Linked DNA regions of Alligator mississippiensis. Each later gene encodes a partner of the first gene's protein in a complex. Links are inferred from orthologs where the notes say so. Each region holds a gene or a part of one and is shown in the gene's direction. Other genes may lie near its edges. The genes, in order: TIMM21, SMIM20, TIMM17A and surfeit locus protein 1.

Region 1 (7,755 bases):
CCTTCACGCTCGGACTCAGATGACCCTTGATCATCACGTCCTCCCGTGATGAGCTGTCGCTGATAGCAAGGCTATTAAATTGGCCCTGGATTTGATCCACTCTGGGCACGTCTACTTGTGAAACCAATTTGATGCAAAAAAAAACTCCCGTGCAGTTTGCAATGGAGTTTTTTTGCGTTGCTTTTACAGGTGCGCCTGACACCACAGTATGTTGAGTCACAGCAGACCAGCCCCAGCAGGCGGGGGGTGCCGGTGGTCCGCCTGCCAGCCTGGGGCTGCTCTGACTCAACATGCTGTGGAGGGGCTAGCTGGGGTACAAAAGTGCTGTGGTGTGGGGCAACCCTAATGCACCAGTCAGCCCTGGTCAGCATCTACATGCGTGTTGCAGCAAAGTAAATAACTCCACCATAGGATCATACCCGTGTTGGGCAGTACTGTCCTATGGCCGAGTTATTTAGTCTATTTCAGTCAAATAGTACCGCATGTGTAGATGCTAACACTTTACTGTGGAGCTAATTAATCAGCTCTGCAGTAAACCTCTCATGTACATGCACCCTGTTTGTGGGAGATCTCGAGTGGGAATAAAATCATTTGTGTTACTCTTCCTTTTCCAGCATTTCTTAAAAACAATGTTCAATAAATTCTTCCTATAACTCTTGTCTGCCTGTTAAACTCATCTTCATTTTCCATCCACATGTATTCAGCAAATGCATTGTTATCTTCATGAGCGTGACCATTAATAATAATCACATCTTCACTGATGATGCTTGGGCTAGGACTGCTGCCATTTGGATCTTTCATGGCTGCACTTCTGATCTGAAGTAGGAGCACGAGTAGCTCTAGATTTTACAAAGTACTCTTGTAGGCTAATGGCATGAACCTTGCCATAGTGCTAGGACATTAAAAAATGGGGGGGGGGAGGGGGTGATACACCTGGTGAGGGGCATCATGGCATCTAAAACTACAGGTGTTTCTCTCTAGGTAAAAAGAAATTAGACACTTTTCCTAACAGGCTAGAGACCCAGGCAGGGCTGTATTATTTAGTGTTAGAGTGAAGAAGAAACAAAGAGAATTTCATTGGAATGAGTTGAAAACTAATTCACAAGGCTATAAGACAGGAGCTGCCTCACCAGGAGCAGGGAACAGGCAGCAGCATAGCATAGCACAATCCCTTTGCTTGGTTGGACACCAAGCCTATTCAAAAGAAGGGAGGAATGCTATACACATACAGATTGAAAAGTTTAGGAGGGATCAGGTAGATGATAATGAGCCAGGAAGTCATAGAGTCATAGAGAAGTAGGCCTGGAAGGGATCTCCAGAGGTCATCCAGTCCCAACCCCCTGACTGATTCAAGTGACTCACTCAGCACTGCCTATTGAGAAATGCTGCTGTCACTGCCAGGCAGTTGATTTTAAACTTTGGGTGGAGCAGAAATCAAAGGGGTGCCTCAAGTCTATCCAAGGGTGCCTTGAGTCTAAAAAGGCTGAGATCCACTGGCAAAGGTGCCAGTCTACTCTGCCTTCTCATACTGGCCACCTGAGTACAAACTGTGGCTCCAGGATCACTGAGAATAATAACAAGTTGTCATATTTAGAGAGGGGGAGTTCTCTGAAGAACTTATGAGAAACTTACTCTTCAGCGCTGGCTAAAGGAGAAGCTTTCTGCTGGAAGAATAATTTGCAAGTATTACTATCCATCCTCAAGAAAGAAAAGTCAGAAGCAGCCACCGAGTCAAAAGACTTCTGTGAATTTAAACTATATGGGAAGTTTGAACTGCCAGAGTTATTCTGCTATTAAGATAATTTGAGACTAAAAAAAGGTCTGACACCTGCTGCTAAATTTCTTACAGGACCCAACTAATAATTAAAATTAAGCCTAAACCATTTAACAGATTTACTTCCAAATTCTCAGAATGTTCCATTTATTCTCAAAGAGCAATTGCTGCCATTTGCATGCATAATAAATACTTTGTCTGCTTTAAGAACAAAACCTAAGTGACAGATCTGTGACTAGCATCTCCAAAATAGCCATTTTGGTACCTGCAGTGTTGGGACTGATTCTTCCAACAAAGTAGATTTATTAGCATATGGTTAACTGTTATTTTAATTTGATCCTTAAATGTATTTTTATACCAACATGTAAAGTTTGAGAGGCACTTGGTATCAGTGGAACCAAAGAAATCATCTACACCAAGGGTTGTAAACTCATCCAGCTCCACGGGTCAGATGAGGATCCCTGGGGCAGTCTGTGAGCAGACTGGGACCAACTCTGTGTGCAGCACATACAGCATGAGGTCCAGCCTGCATGCTGCGTACACCGGTTCCAGGCCTCGCTGTGCATATGGCAGGGAGGTCCAGTATAGGGCACATGCTATATGTGACACAGCCTGATCTACACCAGGTCAGAGCCAGTATGCAGGGCTGGTCCTGCAGAGTGCAACATGCACTGTGTTCCCCTGACTGATCCCCTGTGCCGTGTGCAGGACACACAGTGCCAAGTCTAGACCACATACTGCATGCAGTGCAGGGGGCTAAGGCCAGTACATGGGGTTGATCTGGCCCATAAGTCACAGAACCATATGGCTTCATAGGCCAGATGCAGCCCACAAGCCATATATGTTTGACACCTCTGAACTACACATATATGTGGTTATGGCTGAAATCTAACTCCTATTATATATTCTATATTTCAGTTGCTCATCATTTTCTTAAACAAATTCCCTAAAGAGGTTCATTTTCATGTAAAGTTTGAACAAAATATTTTAAGATATGTTTGAGTAGTGGCTTTATTTATTTTTATATAAATAATAAATATGTATATTGCTGTTGTGCATTTTATATACACATACCCCAAAATGTGTAAATATATTTTATAAAATTAAACACACCCAAACTCAAGTTCTGTCTTCTATAGTACCTTTGTAATACACAGTAGTTGAATTCAGTGAGGTTGCAGAGGTACAATTAATAAAGATCTTGGCCTTAATTGTAGAATAGGGTTTTAAGATACTCAGCTTTGTGATAATTGTGTAACTTCATACAAAACAATACTACAATAAGAGACAAAGGAGCTTGGAAAAGAATGAGAGAGATTATGTTTGTTTGACGTTTGAGCAAGCAGTTGGACTAGATGACCTCCTGAGGTCCCTTCCAACCCTAATTGCCTATGATTCTATAACTTCCCTTTAGGCAGGTCAGTAGCCCTTATATTGCCACAGCTAACTAAGAAAGCAGCATTTCAGGTCATTTATGCAAATCTTAGATCCACCTCCACCCTGCACAGTTCACCTTCCCCTTCTGTGCACAGGAACCACTCCCAACTCCTTCCACCCTATTGTGTTCCCATTCCAGCCAGGGATATAACTCCATGCATAATCCCAAAATAATAATCCCAATTTTAGCCCTATAGCCTAGTGCAGTAGTTCTCAACCTTTTTTGTACCAGAACTCATTTGTAGCCATTGATGGCCAGTCCCAACCCAGTACCCCTCACTCCCAACCCGCTGCCTCAACCCAGACCCCAAGCCCCAGCCCCGCAGTGTATGGGGCAAAGGGGGTGTGAGGAAGGAGGGGGGGAGGGGGAGGGAGCAAGCAGCCCCTCGTAAACTGGAATTCTGCCAGCCTGCAATGGAAAAAACAGTTTCCCATTTTTTTTTCCTTTAAAGGAGAGTCCATTTTTAAAGTCTGTTGATCCATTTATAAAGTTCGCTCCCCACCCTTTCATATATTCTTGCAACCTACCTTTGGGTCACAACCCAGATTGAGAAATGCTGGCCTAGTGGTTAGGGCACTTGCCCAGGAAGTGGAAAATTCAGCTTCTAGCACCCTACCTGCTGCTTCATAAATTTGAAACCTGTACCTCCTGTTTCATAGCAAAGCATACCAACTGCAAGGCCATGGAGAAGGACTCCTCTTGAAACTTAAAAAACTGAAAACCAAGAGCCAGAAGTAAAGCAAATTGAAGGAAATGCAACTCAAAGAGATGGGTGCTGGGTTCTGATCTCCTGCCCCAACTGGTACTTCTAGATTTTGCATTTAATAATCATTCCATAAATTGGGTAGACAGCAGGGTAAATCAGCATGCAGAGCCACTTTAGGTGACCACATAAATCAGCCATGTGATTGCTGGATTTGATCCTCAGTTTAAAAGCAGAACCTCTAACCACAAGGGTAAAGTTCAAAGGAAGGCAAATAATAAATCGAATTGGCCCGATTGCTGCATGCTCACACTCCTGCTTATGCAATTAATGAACAGATTCCCATGTTAAAAACCTTTCAACCCTAACCCCTAATTTTGCAGTGCACATCCAGTCTTTGCAGTATTGGGACCTTACGTCACCAGTTTTCCTCTAGAATAGAAATACTTCCTGATCTGCCCTTTTACAGCTTCATGCAAAAAGCAAGGAGCAACTTGCATTTTTGCAAAACCCTAATGAAAGAAAAGATGTTAACAACCCTTGTTAAGACATTAAACGTTGAAAAAGAAAAGCTGTTTGAACCCCTTTCTAAAACACTGAAAACTGGCAAAGCAGGGAACACACCAAATGCCTAACCCTGGCTGCAGCAGCACGTTACCTACGTGCTCCCCGTGCCCAAGCCAGTGGCTTTCGATTTGATTCGTGTCCTGGATCTTGCTGATTTCAACAGCAGGGGCTGGTGCTTTGCATTCTGGGACTTGTAGTCTTTTGGCCTCCAACCCCCTTAACTCGGGGCAGCAGAAGAGTTTGTGCAAACTACGTTTCCCAGGATCACAGGGACTTTGCAAGGAATAATGGCGGGGCAAGTTGCAAATGTCAGCGAGCAAAGGGGAATGTGGGGTTTTGAGTGAGCCGGCAAGACAAAAAGCAAAAGATTGCTCTAGTTCTTCTTGCTTTCTCAGGGGCTGCACCAGCTCAGCAGCAAGCAAGGTGAGGTTAGCCTTAGCTTGAAGGAAGCTGCGTTGATCTGAGCCTATAGCATTCTCAAAGGCTTGATCTGCCCCAGCATGTTTTCTGCTTCCCTCATGCGAGTGATTCAGTGCAGCGAGAAGCTACAGCTCTCCCCAGGAAAGTGGTTTCTTGCCCCCCATGGGAAAGTGTTTTTAAGGACCTGGTCGTGTTTCAGTGGGAGACACGAACTTGTCCGCAGAGGTGTGCGGCGCCCTCGTATATTTCTCCAAGGCGCAAAGCAAAGTCTCTGGACCCAGGAAGGGTCCCTGAGAGCTGAGAATAACAGCAAACGAGTGTCTGTGCAAAGAAGCCAGAAAGAGGAAGCATCTCTGTCACCTGCTCGGAAAGGTAAGGAGAGGCCCTTTTAAGCCAGTAGCAATTCAGAGCAACATGGAGATGGTGTCACACGAGGGCAGTGGTGCAAAATTGAGTGTCAAAATTGCAATTGAGAGTTGCAGCATTCAGGAAGACTGCTACATCTCAGCCCTCTCTCCCTCCTCCCCTCCTTGACTTTACTTTGCCTTGTTTTGAATTGCTTTCTACACTGTTAGGTATCCAGGCATTGGCGACGCGTAGAGGGTGTACGTTCACCCCCTGAGATTGGCCACCACCGACACCTGTAGGCACTCGCCACTCGCCTCCCCTCCCCGCTGCCGATACCGCTGGCAGTGTCCGCGGGCAGTTGCTGATCGCCACTGGCTGCCGCCAACACTGCCAACAGTGTCTGCGGGTAATCACTGGTTAGTGCTCGCCACCTCTTTCCCTCACCGCTGCCACGGCCACCTGCAGAAGTTTCCCACTCACCGCCGGCACGGCCTCACCACCAACATTGCTGTGCACCCCCCAGCCTCGGGAGTCATGCGACGTTCATGTACCCAGGTTGTAGCTGTATTGGTCTAGAGGAGAAAAGGAATTGTGATCTGTGGTAGATGTGATATCTTTTATTAAACCAACTAGAGCAGTGTAATTACGTTTATTAAATTGCAGTTTAATTCAACTAAAGAAATTTAATTGCAATTAAAGATTATTTTTTTTGCAAAAATCTAGTTGGTCTAATAAAAGATATCACCTCTACCACAAGTCCTGATTCCTTTTTTTTATACACTATTAACTTTTATAGGTACATCTCTCACAGGGTAACATTTCCCTTGCATTACCACCCGTTGCATTGGTTGACTTCTTTGCAACACATGGGTTTGTGAGGCCAGGACCTGACCCACCCAGTGTAAATCAGGGTGGCCTCTGGTAACCTATGTACAGTAGAGGGGGGGACACGTCCAGTTTTGCTAATCCTAGTTCACTATCAGCAAACTTAGTGTCAGTGGGACTTCATTTTCAGAAAATTTTCCTGCTATAAATGGGATGTGACTGGACAGCCAGTAATTTTCCATTTGTGCACATTATATTTCAGATGCCATTATAATCTTTCTGATGCATAATAAATGGCTAAATAACAGGCCTCTTAGATTTAGACCAAGAGAAGGAGACTTAACATTTTGTAGTAACTTGCAGAGTTTCCTAACCTTTTTTATCCGTTATGACTGGGCCTGCTATATGCATAAGCTTGCTGCCAAATTTCTGTTTCCCTTGGGTGTTTCCACACTACATTGCAATCTGCAATATAGACATTTACTTGTATTGAACAGAACCTTAAACTTACTGCAAAAAAACAGAGAGGATTTAAACACCTTGGCTGACTAATATTCTAGGAATTGATTCTCTGCAAGTGGTTGAAACAGTTCAGAAAATAATTCTATATCCACATAATGTCCTGAAGATTAAAACCTGTCTGAATTTAATGACATAAGTGAGTGGTTCTGAAGAGCAGTCCATAAATAGCTGGGTGATTACTTTGCACTGGCTCTATAATTTCGCTGATTTTAAGGCCCAAGGGGCCCATTAGAAAATCTAGTCTGACCTGCGTATCGCAGGCTCTTAAATTTTAACTAATTACCCCTGTATCAACCTATACAACACATCTGACTGAAACAGATCTTCCAGTAAGGAATCCAGTCTTGATCTGAGGAATTAAGAGATAACAGATGTACCATTTACTTTGGTCATTTGTTCAAATGATTAATTGCCTTCATTTTGAAAATTTAATACAGGTAATGCCTTTTTTGCAACAATTGCTTGTTAAAGCAACAGCCACATTTCATCTGAATACACAGCAGTGAAAATATTCCCAGTGATCTATACCGGAGCAAGAGCAGTTTAGGAGCAACAGGGCACGTCTACATGTACATTAATATGCCGTAGTTACTGCACATTAAGTTTAGTACCTATAATAACAGGTACTAACTAGATGCACAGTAACAGGCACTACTGCGCAGTAGCGCATGCCTTTTAAGTGACAGTAATGTGCATTAGACCAATTCTACTGCACATTAGCACAATAGCATGGCTTTTGCCGTGACGCACTAATACATGGTAGAATTACTCTGCCGTGCATTTAGCGTCCCATGCAGCCGTGCCCGCAGAGCACCAGAACACTAGGCTGTTGCTACTGAGAGGTGTTGACTGTACCTTATTTCTTGTCTGCATTTTCCTGGCTCTAGCTTCCAGTAATTAGTTCTTGTTGTTATTTAACAATGCAGTTACAACTGTTACATTGAAAATAGGAAATGCTTTCCTTATGCTACATTTTTGCATCTATGAAAAATACTACTCGCCAGAGAAATGTAGGTGGAAACATTTGCTCCATCTAGTTGCAAAATGGAGGAAAGGAGTCTTACCCCCCCCCCCACACACACATGCACACAAAAAAAAAAAGCGGCATAGCTATTTGAAAAAAAAGGACTTAGGTGCATTTCAGGCACCACAGTTGAA
Region 2 (7,480 bases), on another chromosome or scaffold:
AAATGTGTAAAAATAAAAATTTATAAATGTATATGTGCCTTCCTATATAAATTCTATAGTATAATATGCAACATAATTATGAAATTGAAAAGAATAAATCAATTAATATTATAATAAAATTAATGGGTCTAGAAAGAAAGCAAAAGGTATTGAGGAATCCCACTTGCTAGGCTAGCAAGTAGGAAATCAAATCAATGCTAGTAGTAGCCTTTGTTGTCTAACGTTCCTGAGGTGGAAGATAGCTCAGTAACTGACCCCAAGGCAGAAAGCAGGCCATTTCAAACAATGCTGCCTTTTATTCTGTTTTTCCATCCCTCCCCCAGAGCACTGGGATTGGAAGGGATCTCAGGGAAGGATCACAGTCACTGGCCAGCTACACAGTCAATAACAGAGCATTCCTTCCCCCTTCTTCCCCATCCCTCTCCTTACTTTCTGTTTCCCTGCAGGCAAGCCCAGCTTCAGCTTTGAAATGTTTCAAAACTTTCAAAAAGTTTCAACTGCCCTCATTTCATTTCAAGGCTGTTTTGAAGCCCTTCGTTTCATTTCAATTTTTCTGTTTCGAGCTTGAAACGAGTCGAAACAGTGTCAAAATGAACAGCCAGTGAAATTTCTCACAGTCCTATTAATCAGGGCCAGAACAGTATTCCACAATGGGAAAAGGTGTCTACATGAGTCTACACATCCAAAGCTTAGCAGGTATTGCCCATGGCTGTCATTGGGCCAGGGCAGGTACACTGTCTGAGTCCGTCTTTGCTTTTGGTTGTTTCAGAGTTGGTATGTCTCCCTCAGATTCAGCTGTTCTTTTATATATTTTGGAGGATCAGAGGTACAGTTCTCCTGAGCCAGGTAAAAGCTTTCCCATGGAGGGAAGAATTTCAAAGGCTGAGAACTGGCATATCTAGTCATGGAATTTTGCATTAATCCCTTGTCTCAAATGATTCTGTTGGAAATGCATCCATTGAAATAGGGACATTAGGAAACAATTTCCCTTGATACAACTGCCTTTATAGTATGTCACACGTAAATAAAATAGCTCTGAAATGATTCCAAAACATCACCTCAATAGACAACTGGAGAAATTGTAGATTTTGATAGGAATACCCTGCAAATGAAAGGTGATGAACTGACAGGGGTGGCCTGTTTGACATATTTTTGATAACACATATAACACAAACTCCAAAGAAAACAGCTTGGGTGAAAAGCTATCTGTTAAATAGCATCATAAGAAAGTAGGGCTGGGAGCACTGGTGATGCATAGGGGCTGCATGCAGGTGCATGTGCACCCCTTGCAAAAAGCGCTGCAGACGCTGCCAGCGGTGCCTATGGGTGGTTGCCACTCACCACTCCTCCCCACCCAGTGGCACCCCCCCTCGGTAGCAACTGCAAGTGGTCGCTGACTGCTGGTTGGCGCTCGCCAACTCTCCCCACCACCCGCTGCCGACACTGCCATGGCCGCCTGCGGGAGCTCCTCACTTGCTGCCAACTGACCCCTCCTCCACTGCCTCTGACACCTGCGGGCGGTCATGACCCCCCAGCCTCTGGGGGCATGCGGTGTTCATGGCTGGAAGGGACCTCAGAAGGTCATCTAATCCAGCTCCTTGCTTGAAGCAGGATCATTCCTGACTAAAGCATCCCAGCCAAGTGTCTAACCTGCTTTTGAAAGTTTCCAAGGATGGAGATTTCACAACTTCTCTAGGCAGCCTGACCACCCTCATAGTAAGAAAGTTCCTTTTAATCTTCAGCCCGAATTTCTACTGCTGGAGCTTGAGGTTATTACTCCTAGTCCTGTCCCCTACTGCCACAGAGAAGCATCTAAATGCTGCTACCCCTTCTGCTAATGACAGAGAAATCTCTCAATTCACCTCTGATATATATATATATATATATAAGATGACCTCTCTTAGAAATCAGAGAAGACTGGCTGACATTTCTTTAAAAAACAACAAACCCTTCAAAGTATGTAAGGGACTGGATTTTTCTAACACCCATGTCATACTGGTTATCTGCAGAAAAAATCAATTTGGCCTCCTACCCCTACTATTTGAGATCATAGATAAAAATATTACAAAACCTCAATAGTACCCGCCTGTATTCACTTAAGCCTGCAACTTTAGCAGCATTTCTGTTGTGTTTAATACCCCTCACATTTATATGCTTTTCTGCATCATGATGTCATGGAATCATAGAAAAGTAGGTCTGGAAGGGACCTCCAGAGGTCATCTAATCCAACCGTGTCAGAGGCAGTATCATCCCTATCCAAACCATCCTATCCAAATGCATTGTCTAACCTATTAGCAAAGCCACAGTCAGCCCTGACACAACTAAGTCTAACAACTAGAAAGGAAACATGGGAGCTAAGCTAAAGGGAGACTGAAGTGAGTTGCTGCTCATGAAAGCTCTTATACTGTTATTCAATTATGATATAGAAGTGGTTCTTGGGCTTTTTCAGACTCAAGGCACCCCTGGCTAGACCCAAGGCACCCTTCCAAAACTGCCAGCTCTTGTTTTTTGACTAAAATAAAACAGAGCAATAAAATAAAAATAACAGTGCTAACATGGCATGGCCTTGTTACAGCCTTGAGACAATCCCAAGACACTCCAGTGGTGCTGCCTCACCTGGTTGAGAATCACTGATCTGTAGGATGCACCCTAGTCCAACCCCTGCCTAAGGAAGGATCATCCCTATCCAAACCAGCCTATAGGTTTCCCTCGCTTTATGCGGGTTCTGTATGTGTGAATTTGCTCTTATGCAACAACCCTTTTTATACCAAAAATACATTATATGCGAGGTAAATTCACTCTTATGTGATTGGTGTGGTGGAAGCCTGCAGTCAGCTGCTTTGTGCAGTGCATTGTAGGAGTGATGCGCACTAAAATATAGTCTCTTGTGTGGTTCTGTGCTCCTGACTTGTTGTCTGAGACATGTGTTTCTGTAGTTGCCATCCCCATTATGAGTGTGCCCTGTTGGTGAGTACCAGAATTGTCTTGTAAAAGTGGCAGAAATGGGTCTGGGAGTCAGAACAGTCAAGGTCTTGGAACGTATCCCTATTTCTTACACCATAAAGTGGGTCCCTTTATGCAAAATTGAGTTATGCGCTGTTTTCCAGGAATTCGTGTACCGCATAAAGCAAGGAAACTTGTACAAATCCACTGTCTAGCCCAGGGGTCGACAACCCCCGGCATCTGTGCCAAGCATGGCACGCGAGGCCATTTTGCTTAGCACCCACAGCCAGCCCCAGCTCTAAGATGCTTCCAGCAGGGCTTGCAGCATCCCAGCTGCCTGCTGGGAGCCGCCCGGGCTCCCGGCTGGCAGCAGCTCCCCAGAGCCAAGGCGGGTGCAGCCGGGAGCTCCAAACAGCTGTGCCGGGCTCCGGCATCAGCTCCACACTGGCGCTTGCACCCGCGCCTTAGAGCAGGCGGCGAAGGCGGGGCTGAGGCAGCGCAGCCCCGGTCTCCCCCCACCCCGCTCCGGGCACGGAGGTGATGGCGGGCTTCCAGAGCCCGGCGCTGCTGTTTGTAGCCAGCCTGGGCTCTGGGCAGCTGCAGCAAGCAAGCAGGGGGCAGGCTGCAAACAGCTGCGCGGGGCTCTGGAAGCCCGCCATCACCTCCGTGCCGGGAGCGGGGTGGGGGGAGGCCGGGGCTGCGCTGCCTCAGCCCCGTCAGCTCTGACACGCAGGCGCACGCGCCGGTGCGGAGCTGATGCCGGAGCCCGGGGCCCCGCGCAGCTGTTTGGAGCCTCCCGGCTGCAATTGACCCCGGCTCTGGGGAGCTGCTGACAGCCACAGAGCCCAGGCTGGGAGAAAGGGGCTTTGGGTGGGGGGCGAGGGGCAGTAGAGGTGGGGGCACAGGGCATGGGGCAAGAGGCTTTGGGTGGGGGGCAAGGGGCACAAGCAGGGCATCCTGCTATGTACCCCTTGCCGGCACCGCGGCACCTTCCAAGGTAGGCACTGTGGTGTTTTTCGGCACTCCGGGCAAAAAACGTTGCTTACCCCTGGTCTAGCCTCTGGGCGCTCAGCCTCCAGCCCATGCGCCAAACGGAGCGCAAACCCTCGGAATCGGGCCTGTGCGGGTCCCCGGAGGCCAGGACACGTGGCGGCAGTTAATACCGCCAGCCCCGCGCCTGCTTCCCCCCGCCAGGCCAGGGTGGGGCCGTGCCCCCGCCGCCCAGCGCAGCTGGGTCAGGGCTGGCCCGGGCCCCCCGCACTGCCCGCTCCCGCGTGGCTGGGCTCGGGCGGGTGGAAAGGCCCGTGCAGTATGCGAGTGCGGTGATGCACCAGGCCGCTACCGGCCCAGGTGAGACCCGGCAGGCGACACCCACAAGAAGGGAAATGACGAGTAGGAGAGAAGGGCAGCGCGTGCCGGGGGGACCGTGACGCACAAGATCAACTCAGTGATGTCAAAGTCAAGCAGGGGCGGGGCGGATGCGGGGCAGGAGAGGCACCTCCCACGCAGGGGGAGGGCGTTGCCGTGACGCAAGTTCTTCCCGGCGTGCCCCGCGCCCCGCGGAAGCGGGTACTTCCGGCGGCGATGGCGCGAGTTTCCCGCGCGCTGCTCATCTTCGGCAGTTTCGTGGCCGCAGTGGGGGCGGTGGTTTACCCCATCTACGTCCTGCCGCTGCAGCAGATAGAGCGCTACAGTGAGTGGCCCCGCGGGCTCCGCCCTGCCAGCGCGGTGCAGCGGGACGCCTCGCCCCGCCCCGCCCGTCGCTTCCTCGGGGCCACTGGCCCCTTTCCGTGCGGGCCGGGGCAAGGGGGCGCTGGCGGCTCCCGGCTCTAGTCGGAGAGGGCGAGTCCCTGCCTGAGGACACGGCTGCGCCCCTTTTTGTCGCGTCCCTGGTGGGCACGGTGGGTGGCATCGAAGGGGAGGCCAGGGGGTAGAGGGACGTGCAACTCTTGGCTGTGCCTCCGAGCCTGTTCTGCAAAGCACCACACTTCTAGCTAGAGAGAGTGGTCACCCACAACTGGAAAAATAATGTAACTGGTAGTCGGCTTTTTTTGGCCAGAAACATCCCCAATAAACGCCGCATGCACACGTGCAGCCGCAGCTGGCACATGCAGCAGCTAAGAAAGTAGCCTGGCAGTTTGGAGAGCAGTGTCTTGCCCTGCCAATAAGTCTGCTGGGAAGGGGCATGAGGGTGCAGATGGAGGCCAGGGTGGTGAGGGAGGGAGTGGGGCAGTGAACGGGATCCTGGGGCTGGGAGCAGGGTGGAGTCACTGGAGTCACAGGTGGCTCGTCCATGGAGGCATGTGTCCCCTTCCCCCGCCCCCGATTTGTGCATGGGGCAAGGGTGGGCTGCCCACTGCTGGCCCAGGACGTGCCAGCCTCTTATTAGCAGGGGGCTGGACAGTCTCCACTGCACAGGCAGGTGGTGGTGCTGGGAAGGCTGGCTATGGGGGGGCTATGGAAACTATTGGGGTGATTAGAGCCCCCAAAGCCCCTCCCCTAGCACCGCCCCTGCTCTGGGCACTCTGCTGCCTTTCACTCAGGAGCCCCCTGCTGTGGGGTGGGCAGGGACTTGTGGCCAGAGGGGCCCCTGAGGGAAAAGGCAGTAGAGTGGAGTGCCTTAAGCAAGGGTGGTGCTGGGGGTGCGCTCTAGCAATCACAAAATTCCCCATAGCCTCCCCACTCCCCCACCCCATAGCCAACCCTCCCAGCACTGCCACCTTCCCCCATGCATCTGAGTCTGCCCTTCTCCCGCCCAAGCATAGCCCCATCCCAGTCCCCCTGCTGGGAAGAGGCTGGTGCTGCCCCTGGCCATGAGCACGCAGCAGACAGTCCACCCTCACCCGCGCACAAGTCTGGGGGGGAATATGTCCCCCATGCATCTCCCAGGGGCACTAGCTGTGGTGGGGAGCCACTCTCCCTCCCTACCTCCCCTTGCCCCCAGACGACTTGCCTGCGACTCCATCCAGCTCCTGGCCCTGGGGTCCCATTCACCGCCCTGGCTGGGCAGTTCCTGCTCCTGCCCCATTCCTTCCCTCACCATGGGGGCCTCGATCTGCCCCCCCATGTTCCTTCCCTCCCCTGGGAGGGGAATCTAGCTGTCCCTGCAGTCAGGTTCCCATAGCAACGGCCAGGGCACTCTGCCAGTGCTCCCTGTTTTCAGAATGGGAAGGGGAACGGCAATGGGGAGAGCTCATTCTCGGGGCTCCCTGCTGGTGCTGAAGGGTGAGGTGGGTGAATTGGGCCCCCCCATCTCTGGCGGGGGGGCTCCAATATTCCTGCCCCACCTCCCGGGGTCAACCCCCCCCCCCCCCCCCAGACTGAACTCCTTTTCCCTTTCCTTCCTCCCATTCTGAAAGCAGCGACGGGCTGGGAGCTCCACAGACACAGGTTACAGAAGGCGCTATATTTTGAAATATCTTTATTTGATACTTCATGTAACGAAGGGTCAGATTTCACCAGATTGGCCATTTTTAAGCTGTCTGCAGCCGAGCAGTTGTTTGGTCACAGCTATAGACTGCTTTCTGTGGCGAGATTGGATGAAAATTGTCACTTCTGTCTGCATCTTCAATTATGTTTGTATATTTATATGTTTGTATATTTATTTACTTCACAGCATAACTTTTGGATGCCCATGAGTTGACTGTATTTTGAGACATGTTTGGAGATCTATGTGTATATCACACTTCAGGTGTCAGGAAATAAAAAAGACACTATTTATTTATTTACCTATATGTATAAATAAAATGTGTATTTATTTTTACTTCAGCATGATTGTGAAGTAACATGCTTCCGACACCTCAAGTTGGATATATTTGGCGACTGTGTTGTTTTTTTTTTCTTTCTCTCTCTCTCTCCCCCCCCAGGTATACCCAACTTTATAGCATGATTTTTGGACACCTTAAAGTATTGTGCTTCAGACACCTGAAGTTGGATATATTTGGATATCATGTATATCATGGGTTCCCAAACTGGTACGTGTACTCCTGGGAGTACGTGACATCTTTAGGGGGTACACTGGAGAAATTGCGTAACAGTGGATTTTAATGTCCATTATAATAATTGTCATTAAGGGGTTAAAATATAAAATGTATGGTAGTAGGGGCATGGGGGCAGCTGATTAAATCTGGAAGGGGTACACAATAAGAAAAAGTTTGGGAACCTCTCATATGTATAATGGATAATCTCCAATTATATCCGACTTTTGGGTGTCCAAAACATGTTACTTCACAACCATGCTGAAGTAAAAATAAATAAACTTTTAAAGATTTTGTGTGTGTAAAATCTCTATATATACATTTATTTATTTATTTATTTTAGCATTTAAAGAAGCACAAGAGCTTGTTACGCTCATGTGGCTTCCTTGCAGTTTGGTTATAAGAACCTGAAACTGACATTTGACATTCATTGCTGTGAGAGAGAAATTTTGTATCACTTTTGCTGGGCACAAAAGTATTCACTAGCACCTCATGCCTTAACCTTCATTTTTTGCTGGTTTTAATAGATGTTTGTTTAGCAACCATGAAAGTGAATGGTG
Region 3 (7,377 bases), on another chromosome or scaffold:
TGTTAAACTGAGGTATTAGCATAACCCCAATGCCCTGTATACCTGCTGTCTTGTAAGTGCTCAGTATATTAAAGGGCCTTACAATGATGTACCCTTAAATATATATGAGAAACCTATGTGTGCATGCAAAAATAAAAATGTTTATTTGACATATATGGAACTATATATTGGCTGCTCCTCCTTGGCAGAATAACGTGTAAGGGCTGAGGAAGTATGTGCTGGGAGTTCACCCCCAGCCTGCACTCTTACATAAGGAATACCCTAATCATACACCTGGAGTAAAATCCTGGCCCTTTGAAATTTCGCCATTCACTTCAGTACCACTAGGATTTTACCTGTTGTGCTCCTGAAGTACCATCTGCCAGGCAGTCAGAGTGCCAAGAGCAATTCAAGCAGGCAATCCATGCTCAACTTCTTATCATCTGAGACTAGGATCTGGAGAGGCACAGTACATTCCTTTTAAACTGTGTAACAGTTTTCACATTGTGTCCTCCACTTAGCCCCTGGAGACATTAAGGATATTGTATAGACATAATTGATGTAGATTTGCATGAGTCAGATCAAGTAGGGCTAACAGTGTAGCTGTGGTAGAATGGATTTCAGGGCAAGCTAAAAATCCTACCTTGGAAGTTGATTAGATACTCTGGTATGTTTTGCAACACATACTGAGCTCTGTCTTACCACAACCACACTGCTAGTGGTGATTGAACTGGCTAGTTTTAAAGCCAGTTCAGGAATGTCTGCCTAAAAAAATTGCAATCATAGCAGTGACCGCAGTATAGACATACCATCAGTCTCTCTCTCTTCATCCCATGCACAAAGGATCTGGAAATCAGTCATGGTGCTAGTCTGCATCCATAACGTACATTAGTGGTTGATAAAACATTAGTACAGCTCACATTTTCTTACAGTTGAATAGGCCAGAAGAGAACAAGAATCAAGCTGAAGGACTGGGTTTTGTGAGAAACCATAAAGAATAGTACTGGGCTTTGTTTTAGTTAACATTTTAATTAATGATTTAGAAGGAGTAATTGGCACTGTAATGAAATAAACAATGCATTCTAAGGCACTCTGAACATCAAGAAAGAAATAATATAGCAGTGTACAGAGGAAGGCTAGGAGAAGTATAAGGACATTCTATCTGAGGATGTTATGTATTTCACCAGCAAAATTCAGTTGAGACCACACCACAGAATGCACCATGGGATCTAGGACAGTTCTAAGTCCTCCAGAAGGTAAGAATCTCATCCCCCGTGCTCTTGGCACCCACTCTTTTTCCCTTTGGCCTCAACAGCATGTCCCTTCCTTTCCCCTTCCATTCTCCCCCTCCTCCACCAGCCCCTGTGCTGTCACTGTTGCTGTCCTCAACTGATCTGGAAGTGGAAGGGGAAAGGGGGTCTCAAGTGCTGCTCCTGCCTGGCTCCCACTTGGAACAGCAGCAGCAGCAGCAGCAAGGTTCCTCCTCCCTGCCTGTCCCTCAGCTTGTGGTTTGGGAGGGTTGTGGGGTGGAGGAGGATTCCAGTGCAGCTGTAGCCAGGCTTTGCAGGAGACAGCAACAATGATGGCAAATGGGTTCCCCCACTCTGTACTTTCTGTACTTGCTCCTGAGCTGGAAGGGAACACCCACACAGACTGGGCAGTGCAGAAGAACCCACTGCTGCTGTTCCTGGTTGGAGCAACTCTGGAGCCTCCCAATCCTGGATCAGCCGAGGACAGCAACAGTGCCGAGCAGGGGAACAGGAGGGAGGGGAAGTGCTGCTGGGGAGGGAGCAGAAGGGTGGGAGTGCTAAGAGATGGGATAAGGAGATGGGATTTTTACTTTTTGGTGACTTACAAGAAATCCCTGGTTGCTGTTCCCACCCTGTGATTGGAAAAGAGTGTTTATCTGCTCAACTGCACCCCCTCTAGATCTGTTTCTGCTTTCCCATGTCACATTCCTGGTTATGACTGCTGCAGCCATGGTATGTGGGACACTGTGGGCATGTCTACATGTGCATTAATGCACTTTAGTTAATGCGCATTGAATACCATTGTTAGGTATTAACCTCATGGTGTACCTCCATTGTGAGGCATTAACTAAAGAACACAGTTTTTTTAGTGATGCTTAATGCTCATTAGCTTATTTTAATGTGCTTCAACTAATTAGTATGGGGCATTTATACAAGTGCTCTGGGAGGGGGGAGGCACTTTAATTAGTGCAGCTCTGAGAGCTGTGCTAATTAAAAGCGCCCAGAGTGTCATGTGTATCAGCATCCCCACACTGAAAAATGGCAGTGGGGCACTTTGAACTAAAGCTCATCAAACCAGCTTTAGTTTAAAGTGCCTCACCCCCATTTTTCAGCATGGGGACACTGATACATGGTGATGCTAGAGGCTACCAGAGTGCATTAATTTCCATGCTCCAGCAGACTCTATTATTTGAGTCTGCTTCAACGCACTGGAATTCCAGTGTGTTGGAGCAGGCTCCCTGCACATGTATAGGAGCCCATGGGTTTTTAGTGACACTTTAATGTTCATTAAAGTAGGCTAATGCACATTAAAGTGCATGTGTAGATGTGCCCTGTATGTCCAAGAATCCATAGATTTTGGAGGCCAATCTGAGCAGTTTCCTCAAAGTCTGAATATGAAAGTGGATCTGCTTGTTCCCTTGCATTTCATTTGGTCCAGTCAGTACCTAATTTATCAGAGAAAAAGACATGAAGCATTTTAGGAAAACTTGAATCTTACTGGGTGCGTCTACATGTGCGTTGGACTGCACAGTTGTTACCACACAATCATTTAGTGCTTGCTTAAGCACATACTAAATGCCTGTGCAATAACCAACGTTACTGTGCAGCTCCAAAGCTGCGCACGTTGTTTCTGATGCTACTGCACTGTAACCCATTGCTACAGCAGAGTAGCTTGGGCATCATGGTTCATGCCTGCTGACACTACGTCACCATAGTAACAAGCTATGGCAATGTAGCTCATCGCTATAGCAACATAGTCTTGTGTAGACGCACCCACTGTTAACCTAATATTTCCACAACTTCCAAATGACAGTGGTAGGTAGGAGTGGATACAGAACTAGGTGGATCGGATCAGACAGGTCAGACTGACACGGGAAATGAACTCCACGTTAGAAATATCACTTTTCAGGTTTTATGGACATCTCAGAGCCAGGATACAGAGCTTGGACTGGAACAGTTTTCCACTCTTTCCTTCTGTCCATTTTTTCCTCCTAATGTCCTTTTCTCAGCACAGTCCTTACAGAAGCCACACTACCACCTTCTGGTATCCTCCGTTATTACCACATCACTATACACCCTTTCCTTTCACTGCTTCCTCTTAAAGCAAAGTTGCAGAATTCAGAATAGAACCAGTATCTTCTATATGCAAAACTATTTTTAACCACTCCAAAAAGAGTAAAGGGAAAGGGGGAAAGTTTTTATTTATTCCATTGCCTCAATCCATGACAATATTTGCATCACTTGCGTCCAAAAATAACAAGCTAGGAAAATTTTTTTTTAAAATTCCTACAATGCTAAATGTGTAAGATTAAATTAGAACAGTTTATTAAAACCATAGGTGATTTTAGGGGAGGTACAGGGTGGGGGGGTACATGCCCCCCCTGAGATAGGCCTCTGGCTTTTGCAGGCAGTTGCTGCTTGCACTCCCTCCCCCACTGCTGACGTGACCAGCAGCATCTGCAGACGGTCCCCACTTGCCGACACCGACGTCGGGGGCTGCAGGTGGTCCCCGCTCGCTGCCATGGTGCCCCCCAGTCTCGGGAGGCACCAGTCGTTCATGATTAAAACTGACTTATTTACTCTTTATAGAGCTTGAGCACATTTCTGAAAGAATGTTCTAAGTCCTTTGCTCCCTGTACCGCTATTTCCTTTCAACATCACGACCGCTCAAGCTTTCAGCTATTTCTTAGTGCAACTCCCAGATCCCCCTACTATTAATAACTCCTTTAAAGAATCTCCCCCACAGTTAATAGGTGCCTCAGTTACAGGATCCTCAGGCACGCCACGTCACTTGGAATTAAAGCTGCTTCCCCCCAGTCCTTAGGTGTCTAGCACATCTACCTGTGTTCAGAGATAGTAAAAGAGGAGCTTGTAAATATTAAAGTTTGTTGTTAGATTCCGTTTGCAGCACGTGCACATCTACCTTCATTTAAGAAGTTAAGAGGATTAGATGAAATGACCACCCCGCCTCACAACACGGGTTTGTACCGCGTCCTAACTCCTTAGGGCAAAGACCATGAGCCCGCCGGCGCCTAGGCGCTGCGCGCGCCGCCTCTGCCAAGGGGGGCGGGGCTTCCGCGGGGCCCAACCCCTTCCGTTGAAGCGTCACTCGGACGAACGCCATTGGCTAGCGCCTGAGGCCGGGAGCCAATCCGGTGGCGCCAGGGTCCCCTGCGAACGTGCGGTGCGTCATGCGCCCCGTGAGCCGGTTCTGCCGCTACCGCGTGCGCCATGGAGGAGTACGTGCGCGATCCCTGGTGAGCAGGACCCAGCGGGCCGCGCCCAGCCCGGCTGAGGGAAGCCGGGCCCCGCGGGGCGGGGGGCGGCCTGGGCACGAGGCAGCGGGGAGGCCCTGGGCTGCCCCGGCGCCTCCGTCTGTCCCGCGCGCGGCGGAGGCCGAGCTGGACTCGCAGCCACGCACCGCCGGCGCCCGGCGCGCCTCCCGACGAGCCTCCCTGCCCAACATGGCCGCCGCCGGGCGCTTGGGGCCTTGACTGCCCTTGGACCCGCCGCGGCCGGGTGGAGGTGAAGGTTAAGGCTCAACACACTCGCCGGGCTCGGCCTCGCTGGCAGCTGTGCTCCGTCCTCCGGGAAACGCTCTCCCTGGTGCTCGGGTTTCTTAAAAACGCTGACGTTTCTTTGCGGGGCCGCATTTGGGACAGTCGCAGCCCCGGCGTGAAGTTTTGTGCTGCAGTGACTGACGTTTTCTTTCGTTCTCCTGTTTTAACAGGGTTGTATTGGGGAGGGAGGGGCATGGTAATGTCAGACAACTAAATTGGGCAGCGTTTCAGATTCTTGTTCAGGCAGAGACTTAGTAGTGGCCCGTATTGCGTGTGGGAAGGAACAGCAAATGGAAAAAGCCCTTCCAGAGATGGCTTATTAGTGGACCGTTGTTACTGGTCGGATCCCAGCGCTGCCCCTCGGGAAGCCGGCGGGAGTGATGGGCTGCAGGAGGTGCTGGCTGCAGCAGCAGGTCGGGCTCTGGTTGCTAAGCCTTCCTTCCCCCCCAGCCTGTCCTGACCCACCCAATCCCAAGGGAAGGGGTGTTGGAGCCAGGAGCCCACATGGAGGCAGAGCCGGCCCGGCCCAAGGACATGCAGCTCAGGCTGGGCTGGCTCCATGCCACCATGTGCAGCTCCTGGCACTACAGATGGGGGCTGCACGCCATGGGGCTGGGCTGGGCTGGCTGTGTTCCTCTGTTCTTCCAGAATTGCAGCCTTGGGAGCCGTGCGCCCTTGGGCCAGACTGGCCTTTTGCCTCCAGGTGCAGCTCCCTGCTGGAGTACCAGGAGCCCCATATGGAAGCACAGAGCCGGCTTGGCCCAATGGCACATGTCTCCCTGCAGTTCCCAGCACTCCAGCTGGGAGCTATGGGGAGCTGCACTTCACCAGGCTGGGCTGGCCCTGTGCTACCAGGTGTGGCTCCTGGTGCTCCAGCCAGGAGCTGCATGCCATTGGGCTGGGCTTGTTCTGTGCCTCCACATGCAGCTCCCCGCTGGAGTGCTGGGAGCCCTATGTCATGGCATGGAGCCAGCTCGGACTGATGGTGCACGGCTCCCTGCAGCTGCTAGCACTCCAGTAGGAAGCTGTGTGCCATCAGCCCGGGAGCTACACATCATTGGACGAGGCCAGGCCGGCTCTGTGCTGCCACATGCAACTCCCGGGACTCAGTTGGAGCTGTGCACTGCCCAGGGTGCCACCTGACACAGGCCATGAGTACCCTGAGGGCTAGGGCTGCCACTGCTGCTGGCACCATGGGGGAACGGGGGTATGTGACACACACCCCACACCACACCCCCACAAACCACCCAACCAAACCTCATGTATCCTCCCCCTCCACACATAATGTACTTTTTTAATAGAAAATATAAAATTTTATTCCACTTGCAAACATCGCTTTACCAGATATACATATAAACATAGATTCCCAAAATAAAATTATATATAAACTTCTCCATCTGTCTTGAATCACCCAGTTTCATAATCTATTTCCTCATGTTTATGACACACGAGCACTTATTTTCATGTTGACTTAACTTCAATTCTAAGTTTATACAACGACATAATACCTATGTCTCCTTTATGTATCTGCAAATTCTTTTCTTTCTTTTACCATTTCCGTACATTCTATCTATATGCATTTATTCGTCTATATTCATGTATGTCTACATATATACATATTTATATTTATTCAGCCTTGACTCGTCTTTCCATTTATTTTATTAAACCTCTCCCCTGAGGGGTTACATTCTTTGATTTCTTTCCCCCCCACACAATATACAAAGATAGGTTAGTACATCCCATCTTTCCCATTTCCAATGATTACTGTTTCTTCACCAGCCTTTAGATGTCTGGCAGACATCACCAAACAGGGCCTCAGACAGTTCACCCAGAATTCCTCTGTTGCCCCTCTCTCAGCCTGGCGCATGTGATTAGGGTGGCCGCACCGTACATGAGATGAAGCTGGATGAGGTTGCCCTATGTCTCATCTGCATATAAATTTTTCAGGACTCCTCATAAGAACACACAGTTCCAGACATGTGGAGGGCTTTTCGGCATGTCGGTCCTTTGCGGGTATCTAGAATACATGTACATCCTGAACAGTGCTGAGCTGTGGAATCACAGTGGTTTGACGTGCTGTTGACTCTGGTGGGGTCCAGTCCAATGAGCCTTTTGTAAATCATGAGCCTTTTTGGCTTTGGAATAATGTCATGTATAGTTTATGCTATATCCTGATAGGGGTACTACCATGATCACCAGGTTTTCTCAGAATGAAGCTTCTCTGTTGCATTCCAGGCAGGCTGACCTATGCAAGTTTCCCAAATGTGGGAAAATCAGCTGCACAGTTCTGTGGTAATGGGAGATTGTGATTGTATTTTCTCCTTGGTGTGTTCCTTTGGCCTTCTGGCTAGGAGAAGCATGACTAGGAGGTATCTGAACTTGTAACACCTTTGGAATTGGTGCCTGCATGTAGGATGCTTGCTATGTATTTGGGGAGTCTCCTAAGTTCCAGATTGATGGGTCCAGGAGGGAGGAGACTTGCCCAGTGGTACAGCCACACAGATTTGAACAATTGAGCTTGGCCCAGTCAATTCAAAACTAATTTAGCCTTAAGCCAGGGAAAAAAAAAGTTTATGTTAGGTATAGAA
Region 4 (7,547 bases), on another chromosome or scaffold:
CAACCCTTGCCTACAATCTGCAAGCTATTGTACCCTTCCTCCGCTTTGTCGTCACGTTAAATGGCAATACAGGCAACCCTCCCCATTCGCTGGGGATACGTTTTTGTATCCCCCCCACGAATGGCGAAATCTGCAAATAAGGCACTGCGTTCATGTGCGCTGGGGCAGGGGGACGCAGCTCCAGCGGGAGCAATCACAAAGCTCCTGAGGAGTGCTTGTAAGTGTATGAAGTGCATTTAAAATGAGAATTCGGCATTCGCGAATATTTGAAACCGCAAATGCCAAACCCGCAAATAGCAAAGCTTTCCTGTACTGCCAACCTGGCTGCAGACGTGAATCAAACTACCACAGACTCTGATCTCCCAAGACTGGCATGTTCCTAACAGCAAGGAATCCACTTCCTTCGCTCAGGACTTTCTTTTAGAGTTGGACTTATCAGCAAGGATTTTTCCAAAATCCCTATACCTGCTATATACAGGGGCCATGAAGTCCAGCTGCTTCCCAAACACACAGCAGGGATTTGGATGCAAAGATGTGCAGGATCAGGACAGAGATGTACTCTGGGGAGGAGATCCACTGTACAGCATCTGGGTAGTTACTGAAGGGAGCTGGGGAAATAAGAGCGAATATACTAACCCTATGTCAAGGGATTTGATTAATGCGGGGAAGAGATTTTACAGCCCAATCCCCTTGCTTTTCAAAGCAAAGTGTAGGAGGGCTGATATGGAGATCTGATAATTACACAGACAGGAACAAAGAGCCTCAGGAAGATGAATGTCTACCAAGAAATGGTAGGCTTATGGTCTACGCCAGCTGCTCACTGTTAGAAACTTCCATGCAAGGAAATGTTAGGCTTTCATTTGCCCCTCTCACAGGTCAGCAGAGCAGATGGACTATTGGTGCAAACATGCAGGATACCGTCCCTGTGCTCCCATACAGAGGTTCACCTCATGTCCCAAGCTCAACGCGGGTCACTGCTTTCCACAGCAGTGCAGCACTCACCTTTCCCCTTTTGCTGCCTTGTCCATCCAGGTCCATTTTCTCACTCTTCTCCCCATTCACATCCCCATTTTCCCCAGCCGGCTTGGCCTTGTCTTCTTCACTGTCTGTCATAAAGTCGTCGCTGTCTTCCCCACGTCCTGCAGCTGCTGGGATTTTTTCTGGGAAGAGCTCAGCTAAAACACAAGGCAAGACCCAGATGGGGCCAGATTCTGCTTCACACGGGCACCTGCTCTCACTCCACTTCAGAGACATCCTAACAGGGGTTTCAGGGACATCCTAATGGGGGAACGGACCAAGCTGAAGCATTAGACTCCAACCTCTATCACCAAAGGCCTTCAGTGACCAACTGGTATGTTACTACTGAAACACCTGGAAGGCAAATAAGCTGACAGCACATCAGTAGCAATGGGCCCAGGACCCTTAGTAATCCAAGTACAGGAGACGTTCAGCCCATGATCCTCTAATGTGTGGGCTCCCCGCTGGCCAGGCATCAACAGAACTGCCATCCTGGCCCGCTCCTGCTGCTGCCCTTTCAAAGTAGCAAAGTTCTGCCTCTTTCCATAGAGTCTTGCCCATTTTTACGCATGACCAAGAAGTCCTCTCCTCATCCCACTCCCTGTGCTGCTAATGGGGATTCGTAGATGTTAGGGGCTGGTCATCGGGTCCAGCCCCCCTGCACTTGAAACAGACTTGCCTTTCTAGTGAGTGCCAGGAAGGACCGAGGGAGGAGAGGGGGTCCGTTTACAATATTCAGAAACGCCAAAGCTTTGCTCACGTGGGTACAGGTCGCTCATGCTGTCGTCACTGTCCTCCTCGTCCTCATTGCTGGACGCGGGCTCCCAGAAATCCCCCCTCTTGCACGGCGGCTTGCTCCCCTTCGGCTGGTCATCATGCCGCCGCTGCCGCTTCTTCTGCAGCAGGCAAGCAGGCACATACTCCGTGCCCTCCTTCTGGCACTCCTCATCTAGTTAGGGAACAGAACAGGGGGACTCAGCTAGGATCACACACAGAAATGCAAGCAATTCAGCAGCTTGCTGGCCTAATAGAGGAAGATAGCGAACCAGAGGTACAGCAAGGTCCTGGGTAGCTAGTCAGTGCAGTATGAATTGCAACTGCACCTTTCACAGACCATGCCCCTGCAGAGACCTAGGGAGACACCAAAGCCAATGGATGCAAAATGGGAGCGCGCACTTCAATCTTGCTGCCCTGGCAGCAATTGTAGCAGGGGTGTGCACCGAGCCTGACACCTTTTGCAAGAGCCAAACATCCCCAGAGACCCAAGTCTATTCTGTCCAGAGAAGTCCAGCACTGCAGTTTCCTTCACACCCTGCTCCTACTCTGACCAGGACATGCCTCTAGCGGTGGCAGCGCAATTCAGTCTGCACGTTCCATTCAAACCTAGCTTCTGGGATGCAAACACAAACACAAACACCTCCCATGGTAGGGGGTGCTGGCTTTTACAAAGCAAACACTTGTTCCCAGGAACACCAAGCTCACTACATGCAGGCCAACAAGCAGCCGTCGGGTAGGACTGGCATTCAGTCACTACCTAATTGAGCCAAACACTGCCACCAGAGATCTACAAGCTTCAGTCCCTTTACTGATAAAACAACACTGCCAGGCTCATCTTGACTCTCATCAAGTCCCCACAGATATAAGCCACCATCCAAACTTCCACTAGTTGGTGGCTGAACGTAAGGTGCTCAAGCTGGGACATGCAGACAGCTGGCAAATCCCTCAGGGCTGGCTTCTCCAGCTGCTAAACTGTATTGACAGGGAGTTAAAATATTAGGCATTCCCATAATTGTATGTTCAGTGTTAATGCCAGAGATACCACATGATGCCATAGATAGAAAAGCATCCACTGCACAACCTCTGTATTTAAGCATTAGCTGCAGTACAAAAAGGTCTGAGAACCTCTGCTCTAAAGCAAAGACACTGCTTTGCCAACTAGAGAAAAAAACTGCAAACAGCAGGCAGGAGTGCTGTTGTTACTGGCAAGTTGTCGAGAGCTTCCCCAACACTTCCCACCTACCAGGCTGGGCGCCACGAGTACAGATCAAGAAAGATGTTGCAGAAGGCGCTAGCACCACTTACATTTTTTCAGCGCCTTCTGATAGCGCTTCCCTTGGACATGACGCAGCACGTGCTCCGGGACCCTGTTGATGTGCCTGAGCGTGAGCTTGCAAAACAGCTGGTGTCTACAGGAAGAGACATGGATGTGAGCACAGCAAAGTCAGCAAATGGAACGGTCCACGTCTGAGTAATGAAACAACGCTGTAGCCGTGACGGTCCAAAAAACATGCAAGAGGCTCAGACTCTTGTGGGTCCTCTCTTTTATGGTGGGGATAGATTTAGATGAGCTTTTGGGATATCACAAATCTTGGGCCTCTGAGAGAGAAGCAGATGGAGACCCGAAGGAGGGCACTGCGGTCTAAGCCTGTCCCAACCAAGCAGCTGCCCCAATAACAGACATCACCTGTGAGAGTCCTTGCCTCTCACATTGCTCCTGGGTGGGCGGTTTAAGTCAGGGGCGTCAAAACATGGCCTACGGAACCGTTCCAGCCGGCTTGCTGCTGATCCAGCAGACAACCGGTGTGGGCAGTGGAGCATGTCCTGCCACAGGATTCGGGGTGCGTAGGCCCCCATTGCACATGCCCACCAGCAACAGGGGGAGAGAGGGCTATGCAGACACCACCCTCGCTTGCCTGGCTGCTGGCCATCCCTGGACCCGCTCTGCTGCCTGAACGCAGACCTGCCCTGCTGGGCCCAGGGGAGCCCGCACAGTTCGACGCTGCCCCGAGGCCTGTGCAAGTTCGACACCCCTGCTCGAAGGCAACAGCCAGCAAAGCTGCATTGCAAAAGCTTTCCCAGCCCAGCAAGCAGCTTCCCTCCAAAGCACCGAGGCCTCCTCCCTGCCCCAGCCGCCAGCACGGGGTTACGCACGGGTTCTTGGTGCTGGGCACGATGTGGGGTTCGTAGTCGCTGTAGTTGAAGGCGCCAGGTGTCCCGCTCAGCCGCAGGTACCTCTTGCCGCTGGTGTAGGCCTGCAGCTCGGGCAGCCGGCAGGGCAGCTCATGCCCCGTCAGCTCGCAGCGTACCTGGGGCGAGGGGGGAAGAGACGTGTGAGACGCCAGCTCCTGCACCCGCCCCTCACGCAGGGTCTGGACAACGGTCCAGGCATGGGCGGTTTCTGATTCCTGCTCCACCCAAAGCTGAACACCAGCTGCCACGCAGCGGCACCCCCCCGCGTGTCACCCCCCCCGCGCTGCTCCCCCGCGTGGGGACCCGCCCCTGGGCTCACCCGGGTGTCCCCGCCCGGCCCCAGCGGGCGCAGCGCCGGGTGCCGCTGCAGGAAGCGCCGCACGTCCTGGGGCAGCGCGCACATGGCCCCAAGGCCCCGCGCCCCGCCCACCGGAAGTGCCCGCGGCCGCCGGAACCATAGAGACGCGCTGTCACTAGGGCACTCCCCACTTCCGGCAGAAGTAGATGTGCCCGCGACCACCGGAACCATAGAGACTACCAGTCTCTACCAGTGAGTCCCCACTTCCGGTGGAAGCGGAAGCGGAAGCGGCTGTGGACAATGGCTGCGGGCGGCGGGCGCTGCCTTGGGAGGCTGCTGCAGCTCCGGGGCTGTGCCCAGGTGGGAGCGCGGGGGGGGGGCGGGACGGGGGTGGCAGGGGGGTTCCCCCCTTCCTCTGCCAGCCCCCCTGCTTCTCGGCTCGGGCCCTAGACATGACATCATCCTTTTGGATCATTTCAAGCTCCCTTTCCCAGCAAATAACATCTTCCGAAGCCGCCCTGATCGCTCGAGGCTCGAGCGCGCAAAGCAGGGGCGTGACACGGCATCTCTTTGCTTTTGTTTAGATACCAAATGTTTCGGTCAGGACGTTTTTTGCATATCCTCGTACAAAAGCACGGTCCGGTTTGCTACAGGGATCTAAAGGTAAGGAAAAATGTCGTCTTTCCTTCAGGTCCGACACTCAGCTGCCGTCGTGTTCCAGCCGGGGATGTCTGATGCAGCTTTCTCTACCTGTGCTGCTTGCCAATAGTATGTGACATGAGGAAGAAAGGGGGAAAGCTTGTGTTTTGGCAGTTATATAAAATCATTGGCGATGCTAGGGGTGCACGTGCACCCCTGGAAGTGCCAGCCATGAAACTGGAAGTGCACTTCCAGTTTTGCTGCTGGCTTGGTAATTGGCCACTGGGTGACACCCCCTCCCCCCCCCCAATCGGCAATCTGGTGCCCCCCGGACTTGGGAGGCACCACTTGCCCGTGTGTAAAATGCATTAGAATTAATTGAAATGAAGAGGTTCCATAAATAGAGGTCTTTTACGCTTGTCAAAGGATGCTGAGATGATTTATAATGTCGTCTGAAGACTTAAGCCTCCAATACAGTATCACTGTGTAGAGTAGATAATGTAAGTAAAATAGCTTAATTAAAGGAGTCAGAGAACATTAGGACCGAGTCAGTAGCATGGTAGCTGGGAAGCTTGGTAAACATCAGTTCCTGATGCTGCAAACCCTGCAGGGAGGTAAGCTGGTTTCTCTTATAGTAACTGTGTTTCTAATTTGAATTCACTCCAGACGTTTGTTTGAGACTCCGGAGACCAAAAAGTGGCACAGCAGATGTCATCGAATCTGGAGAGGATGTTGCGTTCAGGTGGGGCCTTTTACTGATCCCTGTGACCACATTTTGCCTTGGCACATGGCAGGTAAATGAAAACATTTCACTCTTTAGAAATCAAAGTACGCACATGGGTATCAGTTGAGAACTGCCTTAGCCAGCCAGAGGGACTTATCCGTGTCAAAATAAAAATTAGTCAGTGTTGTTTGGCATCTTTAATTTGGGCTGTTTCAACAAGTCCAGGCAATTCTTTTGTTGGAAAATTTAATTTTACTTTCCATCCCCGCAAGGAAATAGGTATTTCAATTTTCATGTCTCCAATTATCCTGTTAAAGACCAGTGTGATCCCAGCATTGAGGAAAACATGAATTTTGTTTTCAAACTTGCAAGAAGTTATTAGCAGCAGCCCCCATGATGATGCCATTGCTGTGTGTTCCCAGGTCCAGCGCCGGAAGAGGAAGTTGAAACTGATTGCAGACCTCGAGTCAAGAGTTGGATCAGAGCCTGTTCCTCTGCCTTCAGAGTAAGTGTAGAAGCTGGGTTTACACTTGATGATTCATGTAGCATCAGCAATCTACTAGGAATTTGGGACATGGTCCTTGCCCTGAGGAACTTGCACACTAATAGACAACATGGGAGCAGCAAGCAGTGTAGACAAACTAGAAAGAAAAATATGGTGGTTCATCTTATTTTAAACATGAGCTGTGAATGCTTCCCTGGAAAGCATTATGTGCTACCAAAAATGCACGTGTTACAAAAAGCCATGTGGATAGACAAGGTCCTTGCACTGTTCAGACAAATCTGAGGCACAGAACAAGTGCATGTGGCCATCTGGTATAGAGTGTCAAGGTTCAAGGGTCAGGAAGGGAAGGAGAATTACTGTTGACTTGACCTCCACATGCTATGTCTACAGGAAAAAGGCCCTTCCCAGCTGGTGTTGAGTTCTGCCAGTGACACAGGAATTACACCTGGGTATACCCAGGATACTAACAACTCATGCTATTCACTAGCGTGCTGCTAAACTGTAGTCGGATGCTTAACTCATTGGGGATTTTGTTTCTCTGTCTGCTACTGCTGATCCTTTTTTTTTTTTTTCTTCAGTTGATTTGCCAGTTGTCCATTTGGGGAATAAAAAAACAGAGGGGACCCCGTAATTCCGCTAAAGGTTTAACTGTCTGGCTCTGGTGGCCCAGAGACTGCTCTCATCCCAGTGCATCTTGTTCCCTTACAGCCCTGCAGAGCTGAAGGAGCTGGAGTACAGGTCTGTCAAGGTTCGAGGGTATTTTGATCACTCCAAAGAGCTCTACGTTATGCCACGTTCACGGGTAGATCCTAAGCGAGAGGCCAGAGAAGCTGGACGACTGACATCCAGTCCGGACAATGGAGCAAACATCATTACTCCCTTCTACTGCACAGACCTTGGGTATGTTCAGCTACTAGCTGGAGGACTCTAGGCTTATGCAGGGCTGCAGCAGGCACTTTGTTTCTTCCCAGCAGCAGCTGAATTGCAGCTGTCAGGTTAGTTCAAAGGAGAGCAGTGATGTATACAAGAGAAAAGAAAAAAGCCTCTCAGATGGTCTACTCAGTTGGTAACCCTTGACTTCCAAGTGCATTTAAAACCCATTTTAATTTGCTTCCTGTTACCTGGAAAGTGGTTTTCAAACACGTAGATCGCTAATCTTTTTGGCATGTAGTTTCAGTGATGGGAGTTCTCTTGCTAACACTTATTTTTCTCTCTCCGTTCTTACTTGTACCTGCAGTATCACAATCCTAGTGAACCGAGGCTTTGTCCCAAAAAAGAAGTTGAAACCAGAGACCAGACTGAATGGTCAGGTAAGAGGAACCAGTTAGATCTCTCACCCGCTACCCTGGAAGCAACTGTTAATATGCCAGCTGAGGCATTAGACTAGGGGTGGC

Evidence for each region.
Region 2: TIMM21 (region 1) and SMIM20 share a complex: the UniProt entries of both Homo sapiens proteins name them as parts of the MITRAC (mitochondrial translation regulation assembly intermediate of cytochrome c oxidase complex) complex. The link is inferred for Alligator mississippiensis from reciprocal best matches to the Homo sapiens genes TIMM21 and SMIM20.
Region 3: TIMM21 (region 1) and TIMM17A share a complex: the UniProt entries of both Homo sapiens proteins name them as parts of the TIM23 complex. The link is inferred for Alligator mississippiensis from reciprocal best matches to the Homo sapiens genes TIMM21 and TIMM17A.
Region 4: TIMM21 (region 1) and surfeit locus protein 1 share a complex: the UniProt entries of both Homo sapiens proteins name them as parts of the MITRAC (mitochondrial translation regulation assembly intermediate of cytochrome c oxidase complex) complex. The link is inferred for Alligator mississippiensis from reciprocal best matches to the Homo sapiens genes TIMM21 and SURF1.

Annotation. Positions count from the first base shown.
Region 1 is NC_081826.1:107,906,195-107,913,949, forward strand, and holds the start of TIMM21 (mitochondrial import inner membrane translocase subunit Tim21), read left to right. Parts: upstream 1-4,752; 5' UTR 4,753-4,982; coding exon 4,983-5,274; intron 5,275-7,755. UniProt on the Homo sapiens protein: Participates in the translocation of transit peptide-containing proteins across the mitochondrial inner membrane.
Region 2 is NC_081825.1:39,731,930-39,739,409, forward strand, and holds the start of SMIM20 (small integral membrane protein 20), read left to right. Parts: upstream 1-4,479; 5' UTR 4,480-4,527; coding exon 4,528-4,636; intron 4,637-7,480.
Region 3 is NC_081837.1:29,731,984-29,739,360, forward strand, and holds the start of TIMM17A (mitochondrial import inner membrane translocase subunit Tim17-A), read left to right. Parts: upstream 1-4,376; 5' UTR 4,377-4,460; coding exon 4,461-4,486; intron 4,487-7,377. UniProt on the Homo sapiens protein: Essential component of the TIM23 complex, a complex that mediates the translocation of transit peptide-containing proteins across the mitochondrial inner membrane.
Region 4 is NC_081835.1:60,871,601-60,879,147, reverse strand, and holds the start of surfeit locus protein 1, read left to right. Parts: upstream 1-4,538; 5' UTR 4,539-4,585; coding exon 4,586-4,645; intron 4,646-4,869; coding exon 4,870-4,948; intron 4,949-5,590; coding exon 5,591-5,718; intron 5,719-6,070; coding exon 6,071-6,153; intron 6,154-6,861; coding exon 6,862-7,053; intron 7,054-7,390; coding exon 7,391-7,463; intron 7,464-7,547. Other genes in the region: SURF2 (surfeit locus protein 2), read right to left, coding at 1,003-1,175, 1,778-1,966, 3,100-3,203, 3,949-4,103, 4,307-4,390. UniProt on the Homo sapiens protein: Component of the MITRAC (mitochondrial translation regulation assembly intermediate of cytochrome c oxidase complex) complex, that regulates cytochrome c oxidase assembly.